Linked DNA regions of Arabidopsis thaliana. The protein of the gene in region 1 purifies or fractionates together with the protein of each later gene. This does not show direct contact. Each region holds a gene or a part of one and is shown on either strand. Other genes may lie near its edges. The genes, in order: AT4G26630, LPPepsilon2, AT5G23430 and NET1B.

Region 1 (7,501 bases):
GAAACTTTACAGATCGAAACTGAAACTACGGAGACGAAGAAGAAGTGAAAGTTTCTCAGTGATTCTTCTACTGAGAGAGGTCTGTCAAGTATATTCCGTTACTCTTATTCCGGTTTACTCCTTAATCGATATTCTATTTTGCAATCGGACCGGTACTTTTGCCTTTGTGTGTGTGACAGGTCTTTTCGAATCTAGTACATCAAATAAGATAATAGTAGCTGCAGCCAGAATGATAAAAGCCTGGACAAGTGTTGCTTATGCTTATAGTTAACCATGTTTAGCCATCTGCTTTGAATTCTATGTATTTGCAGTGTCTCCATTGCAATCTATTTAGGTACTCTGAATGTAACAACAGCAATTACATTCTTTTGGAACTTGTGTTTGGGTTGTCCGAAAAGGGGATGTAGAAGAAGAGCACAGATTCTTTTCTGTATATTTTGGTCCTGTAAGAATACAGACTCTCTTCTTCATCAATGTTAATCTTTGTTGTATATGTTTATGAGGTACCAATTCCTACATTTCTTAGACTGGATTTGCGTTGGTAGATTTGCAGATATGTTAGAGATAGATCAAGGATACAAGATGAGCATAAATTCCTTCTGCAATATTCAAAGTCTTAAAGGGAATCAAGAGAAACATATTATTCATTTATTACCATTGGCCTCCTTCAAACCAAAAGACATAAACAAAAGAAACCTTGACAATGTCTCGAAAAGGGAGCCTCACAAATCAAAGACAATCCAAGGAGGCTTTTATGTTAAATGCTATAGACATACAAGCAACCTATCCTTTGGCTATGCAGCTTCTTCCTCTTGTCTCTACCAAAAGTAAAGCTGCTTTACGCAGTTCAGACTCCAACAACAAAATATTACATCCACAGATTTAACTTACACATTTGCCAGATGACTACTAGGCATTAGGCAACAGTATCTGACAGAGAGACTCAATATGTGCGATGTGATCAGAAAGGAGTTTAGGCTTTCACCTCCTCACCACCACCAGACCCTCCTGCTTCCTCCTTCTCTGAATCCTCTTCTTTCTTTTCCTCCTCCTCCTCCTCATCTGCTAATTTGGTGAGCTCCTCTTGGATTATCATCTTTATAGATGACTTTCTTGGAGTGAGATCTTCTGTGAACTCCTTAGCTGAAAGATGGATGAAACAATGTGTTTATTTTATATATAACCAGGAATCACTGGAAAAACAAATGACTGAAACCAATCTGTTCATACCAAGTTCTTTAAGGATGTCCGTGAACGTAGCCTGCAGAAGAACAACAATGCTCTTATTAGGTTATCTAGGTATAGAAGGAAATTCACAGTTTGAATAGATATTGCACAACAAACTTCAAATCAGCTTTCAGAAAACGAAGGTTATTTCATGTAACCAATAAGTTTGTTCGGCAGAATCCAATTTTGTTTTATTCCACACACATCCCAAGTAGTTAAGTGTATCGCATATAAAAGGTTGAGAAATTACTCACCGTACTAAAGTCCACTCTTTTCAAGATCTCAACGATTGCATTTTTCAGCACTTTATCACTCGGCTTGTCTTTCCCTTTTCCAGCCCTTTTTACTTTTAGCATATAGACACAAACAGAGATAAACATGGTGTCAGAAAACATTAGTGGTTGTATATTGGTTCGCTTCTGAAAATGAAGATATAAGGAATAAGATTCTCCAATGCATCTGACATACACTACACCCAACATGTTTTTATTCTACCTAAGCGACCATCTTACTGGAAGAAAAAAACAGGATAATGACCAAACCTGGCTTCTCTTTTGATGCAGACTTTGAAGGAGCCGGGGAGGCCTTGATAGGGTTTTCAGACTTCTTCCTCTTAGAGGACGCCTTTGGACTTGTATCACTGTCATCATCAGTCTTCTTTCGTTTGGCTGATGACCGCTTCTGTGTAATCTTCTCTGGTGGACTGGATTTTGCAGCGACCACTGCTTTCTTGTTTCTGGCTCTCCCTGCTGATTCTTTCTTCCCAGCTGACAATCTAGAACCACGTTTCTTCTTTGTAGTTTCTTCTTCAGAATGCTCCTCAGATTCATCTTTCTCCTCGCTTTCAGAAGGCTGAGGCGCCTCATCCTCAGATTTATCAGGAATGCCATTTTCATTCTCCTCCTCTTTTTTCTCTTCTTTCTCTTCTGCCTTCTCCTCCTCTTGTTTTTCTTCTTCTTCTTTCTCTTCTTCAGATTCATCATCAGAATGAGCTAAACTCTTTTTGACAACTTTTGTTGCTTCTTCAGACTTTTTTTGGCTCTGCAAAGGAAGTGCAGAATAATATAATCAGATTAAAATACTTAGCCAGAAACATTGACGGGTTGACCAGTGATGGACAGTTGCAAATAAGCTACATTGAGATTACACGTTCTTTTCAGAGTTAATAACAAGATTAATGAACAAGCAAGCCCTCAGCTCTAAGCTATGCATTACCTTTGCTGATCGTTTGGAGGATGAACTCCCAGCTGTAGGTGAAGTTTTCTTGGGAGTTCTCTTGCGTTTTGCTCCCTTACTTGACTGTTTCAACAGAATGTTTTTAAAGAATGTAAGATGCACAATAGTTATTAAAGCAAACAAAACTTTCCCAACACCACATTACCTTCTCTTTCTCAGAAACTGTAGTGTCACCGGTCACATCACCTGTCACATGAGGTTTCTCCAAAAACTCAAACAGTTTTGTAATAATATCTTCCTGTGTTGAAAAAGCATGCAACAAGAAGTTGCCAGATTCGATTAAATGGGGAAATGAATAAGCATAAACTTGGACAACCAGAAATGGCTAATCAAGCTGCTCAACAAAGACAGAAATTTAAACCTTCACATGTATCTATTCACAGAGGAAAAAAATGAATCTCAAGAACAAAAACTTAGAAATTGATAACCATAATGACCTTCTTTGTTGTAGCCTTGGTAATGTGTATGTCCAACACATCACAAAACTCCCACAGTTTCTCTTTGGTGCATTTCTCAAGCTTTTCTTTTACTTTTTCTTTTGCTTTCTTCTGCAAATACCAAAGAGCCACAATTATATACAAAGCAAAGGCATATGTAAAAGCATTCATTATGTGTAATGTTGCACACCTCATCTCCATGCCAAACGAAACCAGAGAAGCCCAATATGTTTGTCTTGATCTGAGCAGCCTGTTAAAGCAAGAAGAATAAGATACATACAAACATGATTAGCAGACTTGCTACAGCACATGAGTCCATACCACTGGTCTCAAACTACAAGAGTATGCCCATGATTGACAATTTTAGAAGTATGACTATTGGAGCAGCATAATGTCAAAAGGATCCAAAGAGACGCTCACCTTCCCTCTCCTCCCACCAAATAGAATTGGGTGAAGCAGCTTCAAAGTTTCATCAGACCTCTTCCTCATTACCTTGTTAGCAACTACAGAGAAGAAACATTCAAGTTATCTACTTCATTTCAACTTCAAACAAAAATAAAAAGATGAAAAAATGGAACAATAAAGGTATTTTTTAGGTAGGTCGCGATTATTAGATTTTGGTTTACAAGAAATCTTGCTTCTGAGCCGGCTGGAATTGATCAATGCCAAGAAAAAAAATTCAAATGAAGATTCACATAACCAGAACCGAAAAGTGTATAGATCAAAGAATCCACCCATAGTATACATGCAATTTAACAACTAGTAGTATCCAGCACATAGAATTCTCGTAACAAAAGAACGTTTAGGCTACGCACACTTGAAGATAATAAGGGGCTCAAACTGTAAACTTGGAAAGCTAACACAAAAGACTTTTCAGCACAAGGATAATTCGAGATAGATGCTTGAAGGACAGATAGATAGAATATGAACATACCATTGGGAATATCTTTGAGATATGCACCTCGCCCCTGTAATATCCAAAGGATTATTATAAACATATCTAGCAATAAAGTTCTACTCAGCTCAGGAAAGTTTTGGCAAACCTTTTCAACACGGAATTCTTTCGAGGAGTCTTTATCAATCAATGCAACAAGCCTCTCAACAGATTTCCGCTCACGCACAGGGCGATCAGAGAAAGGAGTCCTAGGCTCTGCATCCTTTTTTACTTCCTCGGTTTTATTCTTCTCGCGAACCTTTCCTCCAGAACTCGTCCCTTTCCCACGCTTTTTAGAACCCTTGCTCTCTTCTTTTTCATCTTCTTTATCATCATTTGTCTCCTCTTTCTCATCTTCCTTTGCATCTTTGCTCTCCACTTTTTCATTGTCGTTCTCATCCTCACTCCCTTCTTTTTCATCTTCTACCTTTGACTCATCCACCTCAGCCTTTGCCGCCTCAACTTCCTTTGTTTTATTTTCTTCCTTATCTTCCTTTTCTTTTCCTTCAACATTCTCCACTTGTTTATTTTCATCCCCATTCTCCACTTTTTCATCCATATCTGTCCCTTTGTCTTCATCTACCAGTGTCCCTTCCTCTTTGATGTCTCCTGTATTGCCATCTTTTGTTCCATTTGCTTTGTCAGCTTCATGTTGTATGTCCTCCTTCCCAGCTTTTTTGTGGTCTGCCTCAGTAATATCTGTCTCTTTGGTCTCTTTTTCATCATCTTTGGCATAGTTATTGTCTTTAGATTCCACGTTTTCCTTCATTACAGTATCTTCCACTGAAACACCATCATCAGTTTGCTCTTTCTTTCCATCGGCATCTTCATCCATGTTGGTAGCCTCTGCTTGTCCCTCATCTTTGGTGACCTCAACCTTCTCTTCCATTTTTTGAGTCTCAGCATTGTCTTCATTTTTCTTAACCTCTGACTCTTTATCTTCCGTCTCAGCTTTTTCATCATCTTTCTTAATCTGAGCATCTATCTCCATATTGTCTGGCTCAGCCATATCCTCATCTTTCGCCAGTTCTTGTGTTTCCTTACCCCCAGCATTCTCCTTTCCAGCCATAGCCTCTGATGGCTTTTCAAGAGAAGTAGTCTTGTTTGCGGTTGGCTCAATGGTTGCCTTTGTATCTTCCCCCATATTACAAACCAGTTCAGTAGATCCTTCCACCAAAAACACTTCTTGTGGCTGTGAATGAGAAATCAGTTCAGAGGATTAATATTGCTACGATAGCAGAAATTAATGCTCTCTATAAAGAAATTGAACAACTTGACATAAAGAACATGTAAAACGCATTGAATTCACACTTAGCATATATGCGAAAAAAAACTAATTCCAGGAAAACAACATCTAAAACTTGGCTAGTCAACAATAAGACAAATCTAATTTAGATCTCATTATTGATCCATAATTATCACTTAATCCCACTTTAGATCTGCAGAAGAAGAACTAAATGGAAATTTCGCGTAAGTCACTAAGAAACCAAAATCTCGAAGGTTCATCATTTATCCTCGCTTCTTATACATTCAGTAGAACAAAGATCCAGATGGACAAATGAAACCAAAAAACACCCTTTCATTCAGACAAATCTCCAGAGCTTACACCACACAGATTCAGACAAAACACAAACCCATCTTGAATCTCTCGAAATCAAGTCAATCAACGTCAAATTCATGCATTTTGTCAACAACTTAATAGCATCAGATATCAAAAAGACAATAAATAATCAAAACATCGAAATTCACAAATAAAAGAAGCGCATGAGAAACCCTAACTTCTCATCGCAACTTTAAACAAACACAAAGAAGAACCAAAAGAACATGCGAATTCAAACAAAGCTCAAAACATAAAAGCTCACAAAGATTTAAGCAGAGTATCCACAGGGTTCTAAAGCAGAAGACTTCGGAATCTCACCTCAGAGTATCACAAGACTCGGCACTGAGTTTTTTTTCTCCTCTAACTACTTTTTTTCTTACAAAACAGAACAAATAGCTTTTGTTTTTCTTTTTGATAGCGTTTTTTAGGAGAGAGAAATTCAAGGATTCGGACGCAAAGCCAGATTTTAAATACAATTTAATGCCACGTCAGGCTTAGGATGAATCATTACCGTCCGATTTCATTGCTGTAATAGAGTTCATCAACGGTTCAGATTTTATGTTTGATGCATCTCGTGGATCGATGACGCTATAAACTACCCTAACGTCCGGTTCCGAACCAGGTACCGAGCCTAGACTTTATATTTCAAGGATTTTATATTAGGTTTTTGGACAAAAAAAGTTAACATATTCAATGTTTGTGACCTATAGAAAAATATATTTTTTTAACTACAAATTTAATTTGGTAATTTTTCAATGATATGATAGTTTTGTAAATAAATTATCTATAAAATTACTATATAACAGATAAAAATAAAATTGATACGTAATAATTGCTATATCGGTTTAATATTAATGAAATTGTTTTACTTCTTTATGATAAGGAAGCTAAGTTTATGTGATTGAACAAATGATTAAAACAAACTCTTTCTTAAAATGTACTTCTTTTTAAAGAAATTTAACGAATTCGTTGAATGTTCAATTATAATTGATTTAAACAACGCTATATTAGGTAAAATGATCTAATTGAATAGAATTGTATAAGTGACTTTAACAAATTTTGTTATTTTATATTTAAATATTTTTTATGATGGATTCGATCCGCTACCATAAATAGCGTTGTCAATTTTTGCAAAAAAATTAACATGATAATCCGATTTTTACCTTTCCGCAAAAGATGAAAATGATTCACTGGTCCGGTGAAAAAAACAAGACTATTTTGACGACGATGATTATAAATGACTTATAATGTCATTAGTTTGATAGCGACAAAATTTTTATTTGCTTAACGGGTACTATGATCTAAAAGAATCTAATATGTTTGTCTTTAACAACAGTAAATGCTTCGGAAAAAAAAAAGTTCTAAATATGAAATTAGAGATTGTAACTTCCACCAAATAATCTAGATACATGTAAGAGAGAATAAGGTTACTGTTTTAATTGCCAATCTACTTCTTGCACAAATCTCTTAATTTTGTATAGAGACTGTATAGTATAACCTTCCAAATAATTGAACAAAGTTTAATATTGTCCCATGGTAAATCACCTAGTCGAAGTATTTATATCTCATTATTATGAGTTTTTGACAAATCTAGAAGTCTAGAACTAAAAGTTGAGAAACTATTATTGAAAAACGGGCAACAGTTGTAATTGTCTGCTTAAGGACCACGTAGCTTAAGTACCGTCGTGGTGTTTCTTTCATGGAGCATATCTAATTACGGTGAAGAAGAAATAGTTTGTAGTAATATTGCTGTTTCTTGTTTAAATAAAAGCATTAACATCTTGTTGTGTATTTTTACATAACATTTTTGGAACTCAATACAGGTGACACAAACAAATATATATGGTGGAGATAGTTTGAATCAAGATCAGCTCTCTGTGAAGAAATAGGAATTATATAGAACAAGGCCTCGTCCCATTCCTAACCTAAGAAGATCCCGTACATAATGTTGCTTACTTTTTGTTTTACGGACCCGATTGTACTCTCCCCATGTTGGGCGGATATGGGTAAGATGAATTGTTCAAGGACGAGATGTCACCATTTTGAGTCTCGTTCTTTGTTTCTCTC
Region 2 (4,365 bases), on another chromosome or scaffold:
ATAAATAAATTATTGAATGGACAATAGTTTTCTTATAAAGATACTCGTGGCCAAAAGATCATGACAAAGAATTTCGAATGGTGTTAATTAGTACTAGTAGTCAATTCGACAAAGTTATAAGAAAAAGAGGGTTAATTAATCGATAATACAGGCTGGTTCGACCCATGCATAACATATCATATTTCCTCTGCTTCCTTTATAAATTGTTCTCTTTAAAACTATGCGCATGTAATACCATTCTTAAGCATCATTCTTATATCCGCAGACGCATACCTGCACGCATGCGTAGATTTGTACGTATTAGTATCAATTAAAAGTTATGACCATAAATATCTTGGTATTCAATTTATGTATACACTAATAACTTGGTAAAAGTGTTGTACTAGATATGATAGGAGGAGACTAGAAGGAAGTAGGGCTGAAGATTGTTTCCTTGTTGGGGTCCTGGTTCAATACTTTGACCACTGTAAAAGCTATACGTTGTCAGTGATAAGAAAATCATCATGAATTTCAGGACTATCTGGTTCGACACGACACCGTATTAACCCCTTTTTCACTTTCAAACTTGAATATGTATTATTTTTTCATATTTGGCTCTCAAGTCATGTTCAATTTCTGCCACAACACCGTGTATAACTGTACTTTGTAGATTGAGTTTGACAGAGTGATAGACGCATCAACACATCTTTTATCTACGAGAATAAATGTATTTATAAACGACACCCAGTTTTCATCTCCAATGACAAGACGCTCTGGCGTGTGGTAACCCACACTCCAGCCTAACTTCAGTTTAAAACCTCGTGTAACTACTAACTACCAGTATTAGCGGTTTACTTTTCTCCATGTCTGTATCACTGTATGTATGTAATTAAACATGACAACAAATATTAAAACTAGCACGAAGAAGCAAGACCTTAACTGACACATGATTTTCGACGATTACTTTAAAATAAGAAAAATAAAATTAAAAAAACAAAACGTCTATATTTTACAGATATCAAATAAAAATTCTCAAAAACAAAAGTATTGATGTTATAATTTAAAGAGAAGAAAACATCGTTCTACTATAAACCATGTCCTTTAAACCAAGAAACATAAGGATATTTTTTTGTTCGAGACGATATTCGATCGTTGCTTTTGTGACTATAATCATTTTTAATCCACAACCAAAAGCTATAATCGAAAGTAAATATTATTTTGAATAAAAGGAGTATAGATTAAATAATTAATATAGTTATGTTGTGCAATGGGAAAACTTTTTTATGCGAGAATCTATTTACACATCAGCCTGAATGTATAAAAACTAAAAAGGATAACCAAGAATATATTTCTAAGACCTAAGTATACGTATAGTAATTTAATTGGTCATCTTCTTTGTTCCACCTTTTCTTTTTTCCTTAGCAAAGTTTGTTAAGCATATTCGACCTCCAATATACTCCATATAATGTATACTCCATATAATGTATTTTTCTCCATCACATGTATGTATGTCTATAAAATTCCAAAATAAGCAACAATGTTCTAAAACGATGAGACATTAATAATATTCCTAAGAATAAAAATCGTGTACACGGCTTTCCCACCGTTAAATGCCATTATTTTCGATCATATTCGGGTTTCAACAGTTCAACTTGTTAACAAATTTCCTTTTCAATTTCATCTTTTAACTTTAGATTCTTTTCCCCTAATATCCATTGGTTAAGATAAAAAGCACAAATTCCTTCCTATAATCCACAAGAAAGGTAGAAGAAAACTAGAAACCGAGAGATAAAATGGATTCATCAATGGGCCTATTTTAAAGCAAATTGTTAATGAGCTTTTTATGGGCAAATTTAACAAAGACCAACAGAAGATTGGATCGCAATTAATGGGCTTTTATGCATAAGATTAAGTGATTATGCATTTAATATTTGAATTACTAGAAATTAACACATACTTTGTAATAATAACCACAACTTCCCAATCTTCTTCATCAGATTTTGCTAGTTCGTCACACACACGGATCATGTAATCTGCTTCTTCTTCGTTTTTACGATTTGATCCCAAAGTTTTTCAATTCTATAAATTTGTGAAAGCGAATCGTTTGATTTGACTTATAGGTTGACTCTTTTCTTTGGAAATGGCAGCGTCATCATCTTCTCTTCTTCTTCTCCACAAGCCCACCTACAATTTCCATTTCGCCGCTTCCTCTGTTCCCACTTACATCAATTCCGCTCGATTTCGAATTTCGAGCTCAATCTTCCCTTTGGATCGAAGAAGAAGAAGAAGAATCTGGTCTGTCTCTGGCTTTAAATCTATGGCCGATTTGGTTAAAACCAATGCTCGCAGAGACGGTGAAGATCGATTCCAAGCGCTCGAGCAAGAGGCTTTCATCAGTAATTCGTCGTCGGAGCTCCAGAACGAGTTGGTATCCGACGCCGGCGATGGTATTGAAGCAATCGCTAATCGTCTGGTTGGTATTCGAATTCCCTGATGCACACAACCTGTTTGATGTAATGCCTATCTTCTAAGAAACACAAAGCAAACATTTTTCTTTTGTTGCTGCATTTTTGTGAAATGGCAGAGCAAATGGATTGTAGCAGCTCTGTTTGGATCCGTTCTGCTTCTACGACATGATGGTGCAGCTTTGTGGGCTGTGATTGGATCGGTTTCAAATTCCGTGCTCTCAGTAGCTTTGAAACGTATACTTAACCAAGAGAGACCTGTTGCTACTCTCCGTTCTGATCCTGGGATGCCTTCTTCTCATGCCCAATCCATTTCTTTCATCTCTGTGTTTTCTGTCTTCTCCGGTAAACAATCAGTCACAATGCTCATCTGTTTCTTCCCTTGCATTTGATCAACTCTTAAAGATGACTTTATTACTCTTATTTCCACAGTTATGGAGTGGCTTGGAACCAATGTACTCTCTCTGTTCCTTAGCGGCTTCATCCTCGCATTGGGTTCTTATTTCGTAAGTCTTCATATCATTTTAGGACATGAATCAAGTTAACAATTATCGTTGAAAACGAAATATTGACACTGATGTTTTATTTTGGGGTATAGACGTGGTTAAGGGTTTCTCAGAAGCTTCACACGACAAGTCAAGTGGTCGTAGGTGCAATCGTGGGTTCTGTTTACTCCACCTTATGGTATGTAACTTGGAACTCTCTTGTTCTTGAAGCCTTTACCTCAACATTCTCAGTACAAATAGCTCTCTTTCTGGTTGCTGCTGCGTCTGCTTTAGGTTTTGCAGTTTATGTGCTACTTAACTGGTTTAAAGATGACAGATGACAGAATGATAATTATCAGTACTTAGGATGTATAAGGAATGCATTTGATTCTCCTTATAATTCATATTGATTGAGCTATTTTAACATTCAATGATACCACTTGTGCTGCTATTGTATCAAGGGCCAAGTTTGTTTTAACATATTAGAGTTAAGAATCATATTATGAGCTTCTGCACCGGATACTACTAATTCCAATATACTGTATATATCTTCACTTTGTGAATGAGACCAACTGCACGTTGAATCCCTATCCATGATCTTAGTTGATGACCATCCAGGCACTTTGATCACGCCGTTTGATTTCATTACTTTCCTTACATGCGCAGCTTCTTCCAATTTCCCTGTGCTTGAATATATATTGGCTAGTGTTACAAATGCAGTTTCAGAAGTAGGATCCAGCTCTAGAATCCTCTCAGCCGCCCTTCTTCCACGTTCAGTGTCTCCTTTCGCCTTACACGCATTGAGAAGTGTGGTCCAGACTACATCGTCCTTCTTCCATGGCATCTCATTGATCATCTGCTCTGCAACACTTGGCCGGCCTGCTCTACACAGCAGATCAACCATACATCCATAGTGTTCCTTGGTTGGTCTGATAATATACTTCTCTTGCATCAAGTTGAGATAGTGAAAACCAAGGTCATGATGTCCTGAATGAGTAAAGGGCGAGAGAATGCTGATGAAAGTTACAGAGTCGGGTCTGAGACCAACCTTCAGACTCTTCTCAAACAGATCTATAGCTTTTTAGGTCTTTCCATGTTCTGCATATCCATTGATCAAAGAAACAATATCATCTCTGTCTATTTCTGCGAATACTTTGAAGCTTCTTCGATACTTCCACATTTTGAGTACATATTAATCAGAGCACTACGAATAGTAGAGTTCTGTTCTAAACTAAGATAAAGAGCAAGCGCATGAACTTGCCTGCCTTGCTCAAGAACTGCCATGGTTCCTGAAACACTCAGCAAACTAGTAAGAGCAGGATTTGGTTTTGACCCTGCTTGTCTCATCCATGAGAAATACGTAAAAACTTCTTCTCCTAAACCTGGCTGAGTGCCTGAGAGTACCCTCGAGTAATCGTGCTCCACGAAATAATGTG
Region 3 (7,766 bases), on another chromosome or scaffold:
AGATTAGGCCCGTTTTTCGTTCGTGGGTCAGATTCTAGGCCCGTATCGGTTTAGCTATTCCTATTCTCATAAACTTTAAAACAAGATATTTTAGGTAGAGAGAAGCGAGTCGTCTTAGTCAAATACATATGCCCTAAGGTAGACAGGTTCATCATCATAGATATCACGAGTCTGTCATTATTCTCAGAAGAAAACTAAAAAAAAAATCTTAGTAATATGTTTAGATTTTGTGAGGAATATTATTATGGTTGTTTGATCAACTCTAACGTACTAACACGTCCATGTATCACGTCTTCCAAAGTTCAACGTTTTATAAAGATTGGAGTATTAAAATTGGAGTGGATGGAGATTCGAGCTTGCATATGAATAATACAATAATTGGATTACAAAACTCAGATTTGGTGACAGCACATCTAGGCCAAGGCCAGGCCAGACCATGGTGGCAATGATTGATTTAGCTTTTTAATTAGCTAATGCATTGTGCGCTTTCAAAAGCAAGCAGCCAAAGTATATGTAATGAGGGACAAAGTAATTTAAACTCTAAAAAGTCAAAACGCTTATATATGTCCGTAATTTTAGGTTTCTATTTCAAAATTTTGTAGTTACTGTAATCTTGTCTTTAAAAGTTGTTACAATCATCTTCCACATAAAAACTTTATCTTACCGAATGTTTATTTAATTAACATCTATCCATAAAGTTGTTTTCTTGATGTTACGTAATTGATTTCTACCACCTAATGAATTTCTTCTTTAACAAGAGAATATAAAAAACATGATTTTAAAATAGGTGTTCCTGATATTTTAATGTAATGTGAAATGTCAATTCTACTTAAATAACATTGCACCAATAAATCAAGTCCCTAATTCTAAAAATTCGACGACGGATAAATGATTAAATTAACCATTCAAAATAATTATGAATTTTTGGTTAAAGTCAAGATTCAAGAAGCATTGCAACATTGAAATCATGGTTTCACAAAAAAAAACTCTTTATTAAATAAAAAAATCTTTTGTTTTTGGAGTTAGAGTTTGTGTACTTGTAAAATGTATGGGATCGCTCATGGCCCCATGCAATTAGGTAGTCCGTTACTTTCAAGCCAAACCTTTCACCATAATTTTTTTGTCTATCCAACGTTGGTCTATCTACTGACTGTCACTGTTCTTTCATTATGGATACAAAGTTACATTTTGCTGTTGGATCGCTCACTTATTTATCCTCACAGTACGTTATCACTAATATTGTATAAAAATACTTTGGAAAATAACCGATAAGTTATATGATCATTGCATATTTGTTTTGGACGAGTTTTTTAAATGTTAAGAGATACTAGAACTGAAACACTTGTACATAAATTTTGTAACTTTTGGACAAGGGTCCATGATAATAAATTTATTTAACATCTAAGCAATAATCACCTATTAATGATTACATCGCCATTTTCCATTATAGCACCGACAGTAGTTTCATAATTCCATTATATAAAATTTCGGTCAAAACATTTTCTTAAGGATTAATTTGCAAACCGCGATTTCAGTTGTGCAATGTCTCCCCTTTTTTAAGTCTTTTATTGATTAAAAACTATTTTTGGATATGCACTAGTACTATTTTGTTCCTACAATCAGAATGTATATACTCTTTTTAATTTTCCACTGAATATACTCTTATGTAGAATAATTAATTGTTATTGTTCATTTTAGATGCAAAATACAAACATGATGGTTTCTGACAAAAAGAAACCAATGGTAAAAGTTTAATAATTTGTACTCTTCCTTGTAAATGTAAATGTGAATAGTAGCAAGATGCATGAAAAATGAGGAACTCAAAGAATTAAATGAAAAAATTGTTTTGGGAATTTGAAATAGAGAGAAGAGGGAGAAAACTTAAAAGAGAGAAGACGTAGCCAAAGGTTAAAAAAGTATCTCTCTCTCTCTCTGCGCCTCCCTTTTTGCTTCTCTCTCTCTCTTCTTCTTCTTCCTTGTGCTCTGCTCTCTGTCAATCTCTCTCTGTCTCCTTTTTTACTTCGCCATTGGAGAAAAGAGAAATCACTTTCAACTTCTCCTTAGATTTTCCGCTTATCTAAGACAACAACGAAGTTCCGAGTATTCCTCAAAAAAATTCCTCCTTTATCATTTCTTCACTTCCCCAAATTTTGTGTGTTTTCGTGGAGCAGAGTGAGATTGGCGTTTTGGGAAGACGAAAGTTAAGCCCTTTTTTGCTGGGTACGGCTTCCATTTCCTAAAGGCTTCATTTTGTATCTTTCCCAGAAATGATTTCTGGGTTTTTGATCTGTTTCCCGTTTGAGCTTTCAGATTGGTTCAGCGGTTGAGAAAGCGGAGATCTTGAGGGCTGCTTGCTTTCTTCGATTTCTCGAGATTTTGGTTTTGGTATGGTTGTTGAGAGTGTAATTTGAATGTCCTCCACTTCAAGGGTTTCGTTTCCGCCATGACCACCAAGCGAGCCTATAAGCTTCGTATCCTTTTCTTACACCAATTTTGATTCTTTTCGTATTTTTCTCTGAGATTCTATTTTTAGGGTTTGTTCTGTGTCACAAGTGCCGTGTTTGATCTACTGCTTTTATTTTGATATGCACGAGATCTGTCTGTGTTCATCTTTTTTCATGTTTGCATTTGTTCCCCGTGGAGTAATTTAATTTAAGACCTTTCGAGAAACTTGTCTGTTTAAATTTAAGACTATTATGAATGAAGTCAAGTTTGAGTTTTGACTAGAGTCTCTATCTGGTACCTATTGCTTAGCCTTGACTTTCTGTGTGGTTTAAAGAGGAATTTGTGGCACATTCTGCTGCTGTCAATTGTCTTAAGATCGGAAGGAAGTCTTCTAGGGTTCTGGTAACAGGTGGTGAAGATCACAAGGTCAATCTTTGGGCTATTGGTAAGCCCAATGCCATTCTGGTCAGTTCTCGGTCTACTGTTTCATTATGTGTTGGTTATAAGTTAGTAGAGTGTTTCTATGGGATTCACTCTTTCTGAGTATCTCATTTGTGCTTGTTTGTTGTCAGAGCTTGTATGGGCACTCAAGTGGAATTGATTCAGTGACGTTTGATGCTTCGGAGGTCTTAGTTGCAGCAGGAGCTGCTAGTGGTACTATCAAACTTTGGGATTTAGAGGAGGCAAAGAGTAAGTTTTGTAGTTCCAAGAGACCATTCTTATTGGACTCGATTTGACTTCTGTGAGTACTTACGTGTTCTTTCACTTGCTTTGTTGAGTAGTTGTCAGGACTCTCACTGGTCACAGGTCCAATTGCATCTCAGTGGATTTCCACCCTTTTGGTGAGTTTTTTGCGTCAGGCTCACTAGACACAAATCTTAAGATATGGGATATACGAAAAAAGGGCTGCATCCATACTTACAAGGGTCACACGCGAGGAGTCAATGTACTCAGATTCACCCCAGATGGTCGCTGGGTTGTATCTGGAGGAGAGGACAACATTGTTAAGGTTGGTAGCTGCTTTCATGTCACTAGTCATTTTTCAGTTCTGGGTATGTGATTTTATCTTCTCTACTGTGGAGGGAAATACAGCTGCTTAGTTGACATAATTAGTTTGGATTTACCTTTGGGAGAATTTGGAGCAATGAAACTGCGCTTTTGGTTATAGACTATGAACTGGCTTTCGAGAGTTGGTAGGAATAAGCTTTTGTTCTAATTCTCTTTGTATGTATCTCATGAATGACGTTCTGTAGTAAGCATTGCCCTTTAAGTGTGGAGGAGAACTTGCGACTATTTAGTGTTACCTCTCTGCACCTGAGCTGAGTATGCTATATGAGAGTATTTAGGACGTACTATTCTTTTGCATTTTGCTAAAACCCACATAGACCACCCTGGCCAACTATTTCGGATGCTTCATCTCTCTCGGTTATTGCTTCTTTACCTCTCTCAGCGCACTGTATTGTTATCTTGAAAAGCAATTTACCGGGAACCTTTTTTTTTATCTTTCTGTGTGTTAATGGATCTGATATGCAGCTTGTCTTTACCAGGTTTGGGATTTAACAGCTGGAAAACTGCTGACCGAGTTTAAGAGTCATGAAGGGCAAATTCAAAGCCTAGATTTTCATCCTCATGAATTCCTACTGGCAACAGGTTTGTATTACTCTTAAAAATTTCTAACACCAACACAAAATAAAACTTCTAGGCTAAGAGTGTCTGATCACAACTGTATTGCGGTTACCAGCCCAGCCCAACCAGTTATATAGATCCCTGTGTCATGGCGTCATCTTCTTTTTATGTAATTGAAACTCTTGTGGCCATCTTATCTTTTTAGCTCTGTGATTTGAGATCTGGAAGTAAATATGCATCTAAAGTATTTTTCATTTCTTTGGTCATATTATTGAGGGTGTGTGTAACATAGATATTTTCAGAATGGTGCTGTGTTGTGTAGATAACAATAGAATGCCGACGTTTTAATAATGACTACTTCTCTCACTCTCTGTTAACGTTCACCTAAATATTTACATGGAATATGTAAAATTAGTGTGATTACAAATATTTGAAGCATTCTGTTTTTGCCTGTGCTAACAGGTTCAGCTGATAGAACTGTAAAATTCTGGGATCTGGAAACATTCGAGCTGATTGGTTCTGGTGGACCTGAGGTACAACTTGTTTTACGCTAAGTCAAATTGGTGACATTTTATTTTCCCTCTACCTTTAATATTCTCATTTTCGCTAGACTGCCGGGGTCCGTTGCCTGAGTTTCAATCCAGATGGAAAGACTGTGCTTTGTGGATTGCAAGAAAGTCTCAAGGTAAATTCTTCTATACTTTGATATGCAGTATGTAGATTCTTAAATTAGATATATGTTAATTGAACAACTCATCTTTTGAAGGATTCGTTCTTATGTTTACTCATTTGCTTTCAAAATACACATTCCTACTCTTCTTACCTCACTCCTTTGGTTTAATCCTGTGCAAATCGTAGATTTTCTCATGGGAGCCAATTAGATGTCATGATGGAGTGGATGTTGGATGGTCAAGATTGTCAGATATGAATGTTCACGAGGGAAAGCTTCTTGGTTGCTCATACAATCAGAGTTGTGTAGGCGTGTGGGTTGTAGATCTCTCGGTATTCCTCTCTCCCTACATATCTTTTTCTTTTTGTTTAATTGTAGCTGGTAGTAATCTTTACGAACCAACTCATTTTCAAATGCATGGTCAGCGTACTGAGCCATGTATGGCTGGAGACACTGCGCAATCAAATGGTCATCCAGAGAAACGATCTTGCTCAGGAAGAGATCCAGTAGTTCTCAATGATAATAACTCAAAGACAGTTCTCGGGAAGCTGTCCGTTTCCCAAAATGTAGATCCTTTATTGAAGGAAACAAAGTCTCTAGGAAGATTATCTGTTTCTCAGAACTCTGATCCTTCGACAAAAGAAACAAAGTCCATTGGAAGGTCATCAACATCACAAAATTCAGAGTCCTCGATGAAGGAATCAAAGCCTCTCGGGAGGTTGTCAGTTTCTCAAAATTCAGACGTTTCTAAAGAGTCAAGGACGTTTTCATGTATGCTTGCTTCTATTATTTTTCTCTTTTCTTCTTACTTAATCTTAGCACTGATTAAATGATATGCCATTTCTGGTTTTGTCTGCTGTTTGAAGCCACAGGAAGTTTACCAGGCACTCCTCATAGGGTCAGTTCGACCAATGTATCAAAAGCCACTTCGGGTGTTTCAACAGCCGTCTCTAATGCTGCAACGTCAAGGAGGAATTTTACAAAAGCTAACCCAAAGGCGAATCCTGTCAATAAGGCAGCAGATTTTGCTCCGGTGATTGTCCCCAGAGCAGACCCTAGAATAGAGCAGGCTACTGAATCCAGAGCAGAACTTGACATAATTGCAAGAACCATGCCGTATTCATTGCAGGCGGCTGATTCCCGAAGGTCACCTAGCAGCAGAAATAACCCTGATCTGCCAGACGCTTCGGTTCTTGAAATGTCTGAGTCTCAGCCAGTTGAACCAAATAATATACCAGATGGGGGTACACTTCCTGGTGGAAAGGTTGGCATGCGGGGTGCAACTGAGCGAAGCATTAATGATTTTAGATACAAGAGATATGGCAGGAGTAATTCAAGGTCACGGATGGGGTCACCTCCACGAAACCACGATGAAAACTGTATGTTTTTGTCCTTTTGAATATTTGCCTGTTTCAGTGCTAATATGAATGTCAGCTGGTAGTCTTACACTACCTTGGCCCCTAAAATGTGGCCTGTAGGGTTAATATTATGAAGTTGCTCCAGTGAAACATGCAAATAGTGGAAAGAATCATGTGTTTAAGATTATTGGTTGCTATGACGTACCTGTGTTGAGTTTGATAGATGATATTCTCAGTTCTAAGCTTTAGTCATTGTTTCAGATGACTTGGTAAGCCACAGATCAAATAGAGACCCAAGCCCCACTGAAAGTCAGAAAGGAGGTGATTCTTCAGCCCAGCTTTCATCTTTTCTTTTGCAAATGAAGCGAATCTCATTCATGTGTCTTATCATATCAGGAAGATTCCAGTCACTCGTCATAAATAGGGAGAGGAGAGGAAGATTTTCAAACTTCGAGGGTCCTGTTTCAAATTTTTCAAGTGGAAATATGCCTGCTCCAAACATCCGCCCTTCAAATATGGTATAATAGCCTTACTATTTTCAACTTGAGATCTTGAGGCAATAACACACTGACTGTAAATTGCCACAAAAGAGGAAAGTTAGAAAGTTACGGACAAAGAGGAAATTAATGCATTTGATTTATACAATTTCAAATGGTACTGCCTTCATAACATCTTAATAGACATAATATTTTGTGATTTAGTAATTTTCAACTACACATCTAGTCATGCTTTTGCTCATGTTCCTCTGAGATCCAGAGATAATAGATATTGTATTTCCTTTCATATAGTTCAAGCAGAGAGGGAACCATATGCCAGTTGAACAAGGGATCGATTCTCCTTCTGAAGAAAATATTGTTGAAGACATAATGGGAAAGCACAATCAATTTGTCAGCTCTATGCAGTCTCGTTTGGCTAAGTTACAGGTAACGTGAAACCAGTCACGTTGTGACAATTTTGTTGGCTTAGCCCTAATTAGACTAGTACCTTGAATACTTATTAGAGTTTTCATATGCTTATGCACGACCACTTAGCATGCGTAGAATTACTATTTCAACACTTGGCATGTTTTAGCTGGGAGTGAAACGCTGGACATGGTTCTCCTCTTCTGCTTATTGAAAATTTTGGTCCTTGTTTACTTATGTTGGTGGATTTTATAGGTGGTTGAGATGTCAGAAGCTTCGCAAAGAGTTAGGGATTGGAAAGACTCCTGATTTATTCTGTCCTAAATTGATTCACCAAATTTGCAGGTAGTTCGTAGATATTGGGAAAGGAATGATGTAAAAAATTCGATAGGCTCGATAGAGAAGATGGCTGATAATGCTGTAAGTATCTTCTTTTTGTATCAGTAGCAGGATATATGAAAAAGATTATCTGCTCACGCCAATCTTCTTATTCATTGGTTACAGGTTACTGCGGACGTACTGGGTATAATAACCGAGAGAAATGAGATTTTGACACTGGATAATTGTACCTCCCTTCTTCCCCTTCTAACAGCTCTTTTAGGGAGCGGCATGGATCAGTAAGAACTCGCTTTTCTGATTTTTAAAAAATGGCAGAGTCGTCTTTCTAAACTTATCATGCCTCATGGATGCATTAATAGGCTTGATCTTTATGGTCATAGATATAGTACATTAGACTAAGAATTCTTGATTTGTTCTCACAGTGTT
Region 4 (7,803 bases), 5.0 Mb from region 1:
TTACATATACGTCCAAATTGGCTACATTTGTCCATGAATATAATAAAATACACAAACACAAATCTTCTGAGAAACATGTATTGCTTGGTAATTACCATTATATTATCACACGATGGAATCAAATTTTACAAAGAAAAAAAATCTTTTATCATTTTTGGCTTTTGATGAGGACTTTACAGATTAATTGAGTTTCTATTGTTAGCTTCATTAGTGACCAAAACAAGACAGGTTATAAACTTGTTCTCACATATAACTCTTTTTGTGACATCCCACCTTTTTTTATGTCTCTTCTACTCACATTTTTTTCTGTGGAGATCTTGATGACCCCTCTTCTTGATCATTATCCATTTTTTAGATCTTGAACGTACACTTATTGATGTTTGTTGGTGGAAATGTGGCTTGCGTGCAAAACAAAAAGAAAAATATTTGAACATCTTGCGGTTTTTGAGACTCTAAGATTGTAATTTGACAAGCACTTTATCCTCACTAATACATGTAATCAAATGATATAACAATTTGAATTATAACTTTTTATACATTTAACTGTGTTTGTAGGCATTTGTTTTAGTTTAAATATCTTTTTAAACTATCTATTTTCAATATTGATATTTCAATTTTGACGATTTTTGTAATTAAAAAAAAATTGTTATTTAAATAGGCGACTTTACATTGGAGGCAATATCTCTTACTAAATTTTGTGATTAAAATTTGTTTTTTTTTTTTAAAATGCAGTCATCTTCCGGAAAAGATCAATCGTCCTCTTGAAACCCCTAATTTTCTATTGCTGAAATCTTTAATAATTTCACTAAACATCATTAATATCGATGATCACATCTTATCCAGGGCCAAAACAATATCTATCTCACCGATCCTCCCGTTAATAGTTCATTTGTCAACGGCTATAATCGTTCAGACATAGTATTGAATATCAGTGAGATCTTTCACTTTGCAACAATTTTTTTTATTAGTTAAGAAGAGACATTAAACAATATTTGCTTACTCCTTTGTTAATACATATGATTAATTAAGAACACAAAAAGCTAATATGCATGATTACACGGGCAATAATGTTGTTCAACATGTCCCTTTTTATAAAGTGAGAAGTGTAAATATTTATTTTCTTGAAAAAGTAGTTACAGGTGATAAGTTTGTATATAGAACAACAATTGAATACATGCATGCCTAACATTTCTTAAAACATAACATGCCCAACTTATTGCTAACTTCAGACTAATAAATGAGATGGTGTGATACACACACTATATATAATATATGAGAGAAGCTTAAACTACTAAATACATGTAAAATGCTAAAATAATGTTTTCTTTATACAGTTGATCATTTTAGACTAAAAAATCAGATTACATAATCTAAAATAAATCATTGTCGAAATTAAATTAAACAAAGATATCTAAGACATTATTCATTATTGAAATTACTGTATTTAATGTGGACACATTTGTCGTATGTTGAAATTTTTGATATGTCACATTTGTGCCTCTCTGCATATCAAAGTCTTTCATATTTAAATCCTATCATATTGCCGACACTTAAAATCCTTTTTTTTTTCTTTCACTAAACCATATTCCTATAAAGATACAAAAATTTCCTTAAATTTCGTTAAACAGGTAATTTTTCTACTATTTAATTACAAAATGACACCAAGATAAAAAAGAGTCCAAAAGATATAGACAAAAAAAAGGTAAGAAAATTTATTTTTACAAAAAAAAGGTAAGAAAAATTATTAAAAATCGAATATTTACTATATGCGCCAATCATACTAATTATTCTCTTGTCACGCAGTGTAGACGAAGGAGAGAGAGAAGAGAATGTTGTGTGTCTCTGTGGTTCTCCTCCATTGATGTCTGAAACTGAAGAGTCAAGTGATTGAATTTGTGTTCTTGTTTTTTACCCTTTGTATATATTTCTTTTTGGGTAAGTAAGTGCTTTTGATCCTTTAGAAATTCTCTGAGATAAATCGTTTTCGCTTGATGTTTCAGTTTTCAATCGAAAGTTGTCATCTTTGTGTCGCTGTTGCTTGCATTCATCACAAGTTTTTCTCCTGAATTTCGATAAAGTTACTTCCTTTGGCAATTTTGTTGCTACCCATTTTCATATTTCTGGTTAATTTCATCTACAAGTAAGATTTGTTTAGCTTTGTTTGTGTATATAAGTTTGATTAGTTTTGTTCCCAAAGTTTGACGAAGAATTGTTATTTGCTGTCTCTATTATTGGTGGTTGATGAAGTGTCTGTCTCTCTATGATACATTTTCCTGAAGTCTGCAGTTTTCAGTTTGTACCAACTCAATTCTTATGAAACATAAAGACTAGCTTTTCCCTTTTCTCCCTCTTCTTGATTGTGTTTTGTTATACATTAAAAAGCTTACTCATGTTTGTATCTTTGTCTATGCCTTGTTTGAAGATAGTTTTGTGTGTTATCTCTCTGAAGATTGCTGTTTTTTTTTTCTTGTTCAGGACGATCCAGTGTTTATCATTCTTAAGGACACCAAATTGATATTTAGCATTAAGTACAAATCCACAGTGCAAAGGTTTGTTTGCATTGGGAAAGCAATTTAAATCTAATGTAACTTCCTTCGTTGTTTAGCTTGATTATAAGGTCATTTTGTTTCAGTTTTGTAGAATTCTTAGTTTCTAGCATACTAGTAGAGGATCAAAGGAATCAAGTAGTTTACTTTGGCGTAGAACCCGTTCGTTGAGCTTCTTGCAGCAGCTGTTATGGCCAGTCTGTCGCAGTCAGAATCTGGGAGGTTGTACTCGTGGTGGTGGGATAGTCACATTCCTAAAAACTCAAAATGGATTCAGGATAACCTTGCAGGTATTCTATAATCTTTCTTGACTTCTCCTTGGTGTTTTTTATGAGTCTTGAAAATTGTGGCATTATAATGCTTTTGATTTGTATGTTTAAAGATATTTTGTTTCTTTTGGAAGTCAATTTAAAGGAAATATTTGTTTGTGTTGAAACAGACATGGATTCCAAAGTCAAGACAATGATAAAGCTCATCGAAGCTGATGCAGATTCGTTTGCAAGAAGGGCAGACATGTACTTCAAGAAACGTCCAGAGCTAATGAAACTGGTGGAAGAGCTATACAGAGCTTATCGTGCTTTAGCTGAGAGGTATGATCATACAACTGTGGAGCTTCGGCGTGCGCATAAAGTCATGGTTGAGGCGTTTCCTAACCAGATGTCTTTTGACATGATTGAGGATTCTGCATCATCTTCTTCTGAGCCTCGTACAGAAGCAGATACAGAAGCTCTACAAAAGGATGGTACTAAAAGTAAAAGGAGTTTTAGTCAGATGAATAAATTAGATGGAACTTCTGATTCTCACGAAGCAGATTCTGAAGTTGAAACCTTAAAGAGAACATTGCTTGAGCTTCAGACTGAAAAGGAAGCTTTGAATCTCCAATATCAGTTAATCTTGAGCAAAGTATCCAGATTTGAAAAGGAACTCAACGATGCTCAAAAGGATGTTAAAGGATTTGATGAACGTGCTTGCAAAGCTGACATTGAGATTAAAATACTCAAGGAATCTCTTGCAAAGCTAGAGGTGGAGAGGGATACTGGGCTTCTTCAGTATAGTCAAGCCATTGAGAGAATAGCGGATTTGGAAGCATCGATTTCTCATGGGCAAGAATATGCGAAGGGGCTCACTAACCGAGTGTCTGAAGCAGAAAGAGAAGCCATGAGTCTCAAGAAAGAGCTTTCTAGATTGCAGTCTGAGAAGGAGGCTGGCTTGCTACGATACAATAAAAGCCTTGAGTTGATATCTTCCTTAGAGAAGACAATTAGAGATGCGGAGGAGAGTGTTAGAGTATTCAGGGACCAATCGGAACAAGCAGAAACTGAAATCAAAGCTTTGAAACAAGAACTTCTGAAGTTGAACGAAGTCAATGAGGACTTGAATGTTCGATATCAGCAGTGTTTGGAGACAATATCAAAGTTAGAGAGAGAAGTTTCTCATGCTCAAGATAATGCCAAAAGACTGAGCAGTGAAGTTCTTGCTGGCGCTGCAAAAATAAAGACTGTGGAGGAACAATGCGCTCTTTTGGAGAGCTTCAATCAAACAATGAAGGTAGAAGCAGAAAATCTAGCGCACAAAATGTCAGCTAAGGATCAAGAACTTTCCCAGAAGCAAAACGAGATTGAAAAGCTTCAAGCTGTAATGCAAGAAGAACAATTGCGGTTTTCAGAACTTGGAGCTAGCCTTCGAAATTTGGAGAGTTTGCATTCTCAATCCCAAGAGGAGCAGAAGGTTCTCACCTCAGAACTTCATAGCCGGATTCAAATGTTGAGAGAACTGGAGATGCGAAATAGTAAGTTGGAAGGTGACATCAGCTCTAAAGAAGAAAACCGAAACTTAAGCGAAATAAATGACACTTCTATCTCCTTGGAGATTCAGAAAAATGAGATCTCTTGCTTGAAGAAAATGAAAGAAAAGCTCGAGGAAGAAGTTGCGAAACAGATGAACCAGAGCAGTGCCCTTCAAGTAGAGATCCACTGTGTGAAGGGTAATATTGACAGCATGAATAGGAGATACCAAAAACTAATTGACCAAGTAAGCCTCACAGGTTTCGATCCCGAATCTCTTTCCTACTCCGTGAAGAAACTACAAGACGAGAACTCGAAGCTAGTCGAGTTATGCACCAATCAGAGAGACGAAAATAATGCTGTTACAGGGAAGCTATGTGAAATGGACAGCATTCTAAAGAGGAATGCTGATTTGGAGAAATTGCTTCTGGAATCAAACACCAAACTAGACGGTTCCAGGGAGAAAGCGAAGGATCTGATAGAAAGATGTGAGTCTTTACGAGGAGAGAAATCTGAGCTTGCTGCCGAGAGAGCTAACTTGGTTTCCCAGTTGCAAATCATGACTGCGAATATGCAGACACTCTTGGAAAAGAACTCTGTATTAGAGAAATCCCTGTCTTGTGCAAACATTGAGCTTGAAAGTTTGAGGGATAAGTCAAAGTGCTTTGATGATTTCTTCCAGTTTCTCAAAAATGATAAGTCTGAGCTTATGAAGGAAAGAGAATCTCTTGTCTCTCAGTTGTGTAAGGTTGAGGAGAAGCTAGGAGTCTTGGAGAAGAAGTATACAGAACTGGAAGTAAGGTATACTGATTTACAGAGAGATAATAAGCTCAAAAGCCATCAAGTAGAAGAGTTACAGGTCTCACTTGCCGCTGAGAAGCAGGAGAGTGCTAATTACAAACGATCTACTGAAAGCAGATTAGCAGATCTTCAGAAGAATGTGAGCTTTCTTCGAGAAGAGTGTCGTTCCAGGAAAAGAGAGTACGAGGATGAGCTTGACAGAGTTGTAAACAAACAAGTCGAGATCTTCATCTTGCAAAAGCTTATAGAAGATCTAGAGCAGAAGAATTTTTCTCTCCTGATTGAGTGTCAGAAGCATGTTGAAGCATCAGAATTTTCCGAGAAACTCATTGCTGAGCTGGAAAGTGAGAATCTCGAGCAGCAGATGGAAGCAGAAATATTTTTGGATGAGATTGATAGCTTGAGAGGTGCAATCTATCAGGTGATAAAGGCACTTCAAGTTGAAGCAGATTGCAAGACTGAACAGAAGATTACAAAAGACCAAATTTCAGTTTCACGTGCTTTGGGAGAGATTGATAGCCTAAAAGGTTCACTCTCCAGTGCTGAATATGAGATGCATCGACTTGTAGTTGAGAACTCGGTGCTTTTATCTCTACTTGGACAATTCCAGTCAGATGGTTTGGTGCTCGAATCGGAGAAGAACATACTCGAAAAAGATCTAAAGACTAAAATACATCAGTGTGGAATGCTTGAAAAGGACAAGCAAGATCTACAGGAAGCGAACCGGTTGTTGAAATCAAAACTGATCAAAAGAGAGCAACAAGAGCAAAAGCTGAGAGCTGAACTGAAATTTGAGAATTTGAAGTTTGAGAGTTTGCATGACTCATACATGGTTTTGCAACAAGATTATTCCTATACACTCAATGATAACAAAACTTTGCTTCTGAAATTTTCAGAATTTAAAGATGGAATGCATGTAGTTGAGGAAGAAAATGATGCAATTCTTCAGGAGGCTGTTGCTTTGAGTAACACGTGTGTTGTTTACAGGTCCTTTGGGTCTGAAATGGCTGAGGAGGTCGAAGATTTTGTTGAAACTGTAAGCAGTTTACGAGAAATTAGTACGGGACTGAAGCGCAAGGTTGAGACACTGGAGAAGAAGTTAGAAGGTAAAGAGAAAGAAAGTCAAGGTCTTAACAAGATGCTGGAAAATTTACAGGAAGGCCTTGAAGAAGACAACTTCTTAACTGGACTCTTGGAACATCAGGTTTCTAATGTAGACGAAATCTTGGAACATAGGGAAATGGAGATCCTAGAAGCAGAGCATATGCTCAAGGCCACAAACAATGAAAACGAAGAGCTGCACAAAGAAGTTGAGGAGCTGAGGAAAGACTATGAAGACTCAAGACGGATGAGGGCAAATTTAGAGTGGCAGATTTCTGAACTGTCAGATGTTGCTGGAAGACAGGAGGAAGAGATTAGAAAACTTAACGCTTTGAATGAGAATTTGGAGTCAGAGGTACAGTTTTTAAACAAAGAAATTCAACGACAACAGGTTCGAGAGGAGTACCTGAGTTTGGAGCTGCAAGAGAAAAGCAATGAGATTGGACTTTGGGATTCTGCGGCAACATCTTTCTACTTTGATCTTCAGGTCTCAGCTATCCGTGAACTCATTCTTGAGAACAAAGTTAACGAACTCTCAGGAGTTTGTGAAAACCTCAATGATGAAGTTGTTACGAAAACGACTAAGATTAAACAGATGAAAGAAACAGTTGGATTTTTGGAGTCTCAAGTGACTGAGCTGAAGAGTCAGTTGTCAGCTTATGATCCTGTGATAGCATCTTTGGCAGGGGATGTAAAAGCCCTTGAGAAAAGTACACATGCTTTAACGAAATTTCCTGCAACAGCCTATCAACAAAGAGTGGTAAACTTTTGCACTCGTTCTTCTATTTCAAATGTCAACTCATCTTTCTCGCTGTACCGATCTTAAATAATTCTAAACATTTCCATTTTTTTCAGGGAAACAATCTGGAAGAAAGCGGCAGTACCACCAGCCCATGCAATGGAATTGTGATTCTGAAGGAAATTAATCCAAGTATTAAGACCATCGAACAAGCATTTGTTAAAGAAAAAGGCAGGCTATCAAGGCAAATAACACGAAGCACCTCCCAAAAACGCAGAGACCGCAGGAAGATTGAAAATATACAACCTGATGACCAGGTCACTGGTGAATCTAGACAGCCAAGATTGAGGCCTGAGATGACAGAGGTGAAAAATGAATTATTAATGAAAGACAATCCTCGTGATCAAGTCACAGACTCCCTGACCTATGGCAGAAGCCAGGGAACTAGTCATGGTTCCAATGACATGTTTGAGTTTTGGGATGAATCTGCTGAATCAGAGACCAGTGTAAACTTTCTCATCAACAGTAACAAACCGCAGAGGTCATTGAACTCCAATCTCCGTCATCAAAGCCGGAATCCCTCTATAGAATCTGATAAAGCGGTTGGAGTTGTTGACAAACTAGAGTTATCTAGAAACATCGAAGACAAGGCAAAGATTCTGGAGAGACTTTTGTCTGATTCAAGGAGACTGTCAAGTCTCCGGATTAGCCTAACAGATCTGAAAAGAAAGCTGGAGATGAATGAGAAACAAAGAAGATTCAGCAACGCTGATTTGGTTATAGTGAAGAGACAGTTGAAAGAAATGGAAGAAGCTGTCTCGCAGCTGGAAAA

The links.
Region 2: the proteins of AT4G26630 (region 1) and LPPepsilon2 purify together in Arabidopsis thaliana (affinity purification with mass spectrometry, with the first as the bait; one large-scale study listed by BioGRID). This does not show direct contact.
Region 3: the proteins of AT4G26630 (region 1) and AT5G23430 purify together in Arabidopsis thaliana (affinity purification with mass spectrometry, with the first as the bait; one large-scale study listed by BioGRID). This does not show direct contact.
Region 4: the proteins of AT4G26630 (region 1) and NET1B purify together in Arabidopsis thaliana (affinity purification with mass spectrometry, with the first as the bait; one large-scale study listed by BioGRID). This does not show direct contact.

The regions. Positions count from the first base shown.
Region 1 is NC_003075.7:13,429,900-13,437,400, forward strand, and holds AT4G26630 (DEK domain-containing chromatin associated protein), read right to left. Parts: upstream 5,872-7,501; 5' UTR 5,753-5,871; exon of another isoform or gene 5,697-5,752; intron 5,027-5,696; 5' UTR 4,979-5,026; coding exon 3,944-4,978; intron 3,869-3,943; coding exon 3,835-3,868; intron 3,404-3,834; coding exon 3,321-3,403; intron 3,151-3,320; coding exon 3,091-3,150; intron 3,012-3,090; coding exon 2,901-3,011; intron 2,702-2,900; coding exon 2,609-2,701; intron 2,527-2,608; coding exon 2,443-2,526; intron 2,269-2,442; coding exon 1,770-2,268; intron 1,574-1,769; coding exon 1,482-1,573; intron 1,262-1,481; coding exon 1,231-1,261; intron 1,144-1,230; coding exon 974-1,143; 3' UTR 506-973; downstream 1-505. Other genes in the region: WRKY20 (WRKY family transcription factor family protein), read right to left, coding at 7,399-7,501. UniProt on the Arabidopsis thaliana protein: Chromatin-associated protein which contributes to the modulation of chromatin structure (such as super-helical structure of DNA) and function.
Region 2 is NC_003076.8:26,532,682-26,537,046, forward strand, and holds LPPepsilon2 (Phosphatidic acid phosphatase (PAP2) family protein), read left to right. Parts: upstream 1-1,934; 5' UTR 1,935-2,119; coding exon 2,120-2,452; intron 2,453-2,563; coding exon 2,564-2,789; intron 2,790-2,876; coding exon 2,877-2,950; intron 2,951-3,042; coding exon 3,043-3,128; coding exon of another isoform or gene 3,129-3,270; exon of another isoform or gene 3,271-3,364; intron 3,365-3,595; coding exon of another isoform or gene 3,596-3,620; intron 3,621-3,635; coding exon 3,636-3,843; downstream 3,844-4,365. UniProt on the Arabidopsis thaliana protein: Exhibits phosphatidate phosphatase (PAP) activity in vitro. May play a secondary role as PAP in plastids.
Region 3 is NC_003076.8:7,894,540-7,902,305, reverse strand, and holds the start of AT5G23430 (Transducin/WD40 repeat-like superfamily protein), read left to right. Parts: upstream 1-1,742; 5' UTR 1,743-2,220; exon of another isoform or gene 2,221-2,310; 5' UTR 2,311-2,443; coding exon 2,444-2,471; intron 2,472-2,779; coding exon 2,780-2,910; intron 2,911-3,017; coding exon 3,018-3,135; intron 3,136-3,227; coding exon 3,228-3,454; intron 3,455-3,992; coding exon 3,993-4,095; intron 4,096-4,533; coding exon 4,534-4,604; intron 4,605-4,681; coding exon 4,682-4,756; intron 4,757-4,929; coding exon 4,930-5,073; intron 5,074-5,166; coding exon 5,167-5,512; intron 5,513-5,607; coding exon 5,608-6,120; intron 6,121-6,360; coding exon 6,361-6,420; intron 6,421-6,495; coding exon 6,496-6,617; intron 6,618-6,887; coding exon 6,888-7,022; intron 7,023-7,346; coding exon 7,347-7,421; intron 7,422-7,505; coding exon 7,506-7,618; intron 7,619-7,766. UniProt on the Arabidopsis thaliana protein: May participate in a complex which severs microtubules in an ATP-dependent manner. This activity may promote rapid reorganization of cellular microtubule arrays.
Region 4 is NC_003075.7:8,472,982-8,480,784, forward strand, and holds the start of NET1B (kinase interacting (KIP1-like) family protein), read left to right. Parts: upstream 1-1,794; 5' UTR 1,795-1,935; intron 1,936-2,119; exon of another isoform or gene 2,120-2,140; intron 2,141-2,239; exon of another isoform or gene 2,240-2,475; 5' UTR 2,476-2,549; intron 2,550-2,632; 5' UTR 2,633-2,736; coding exon 2,737-2,836; intron 2,837-2,985; coding exon 2,986-6,992; intron 6,993-7,087; coding exon 7,088-7,803. UniProt on the Arabidopsis thaliana protein: Plant-specific actin binding protein. May be part of a membrane-cytoskeletal adapter complex.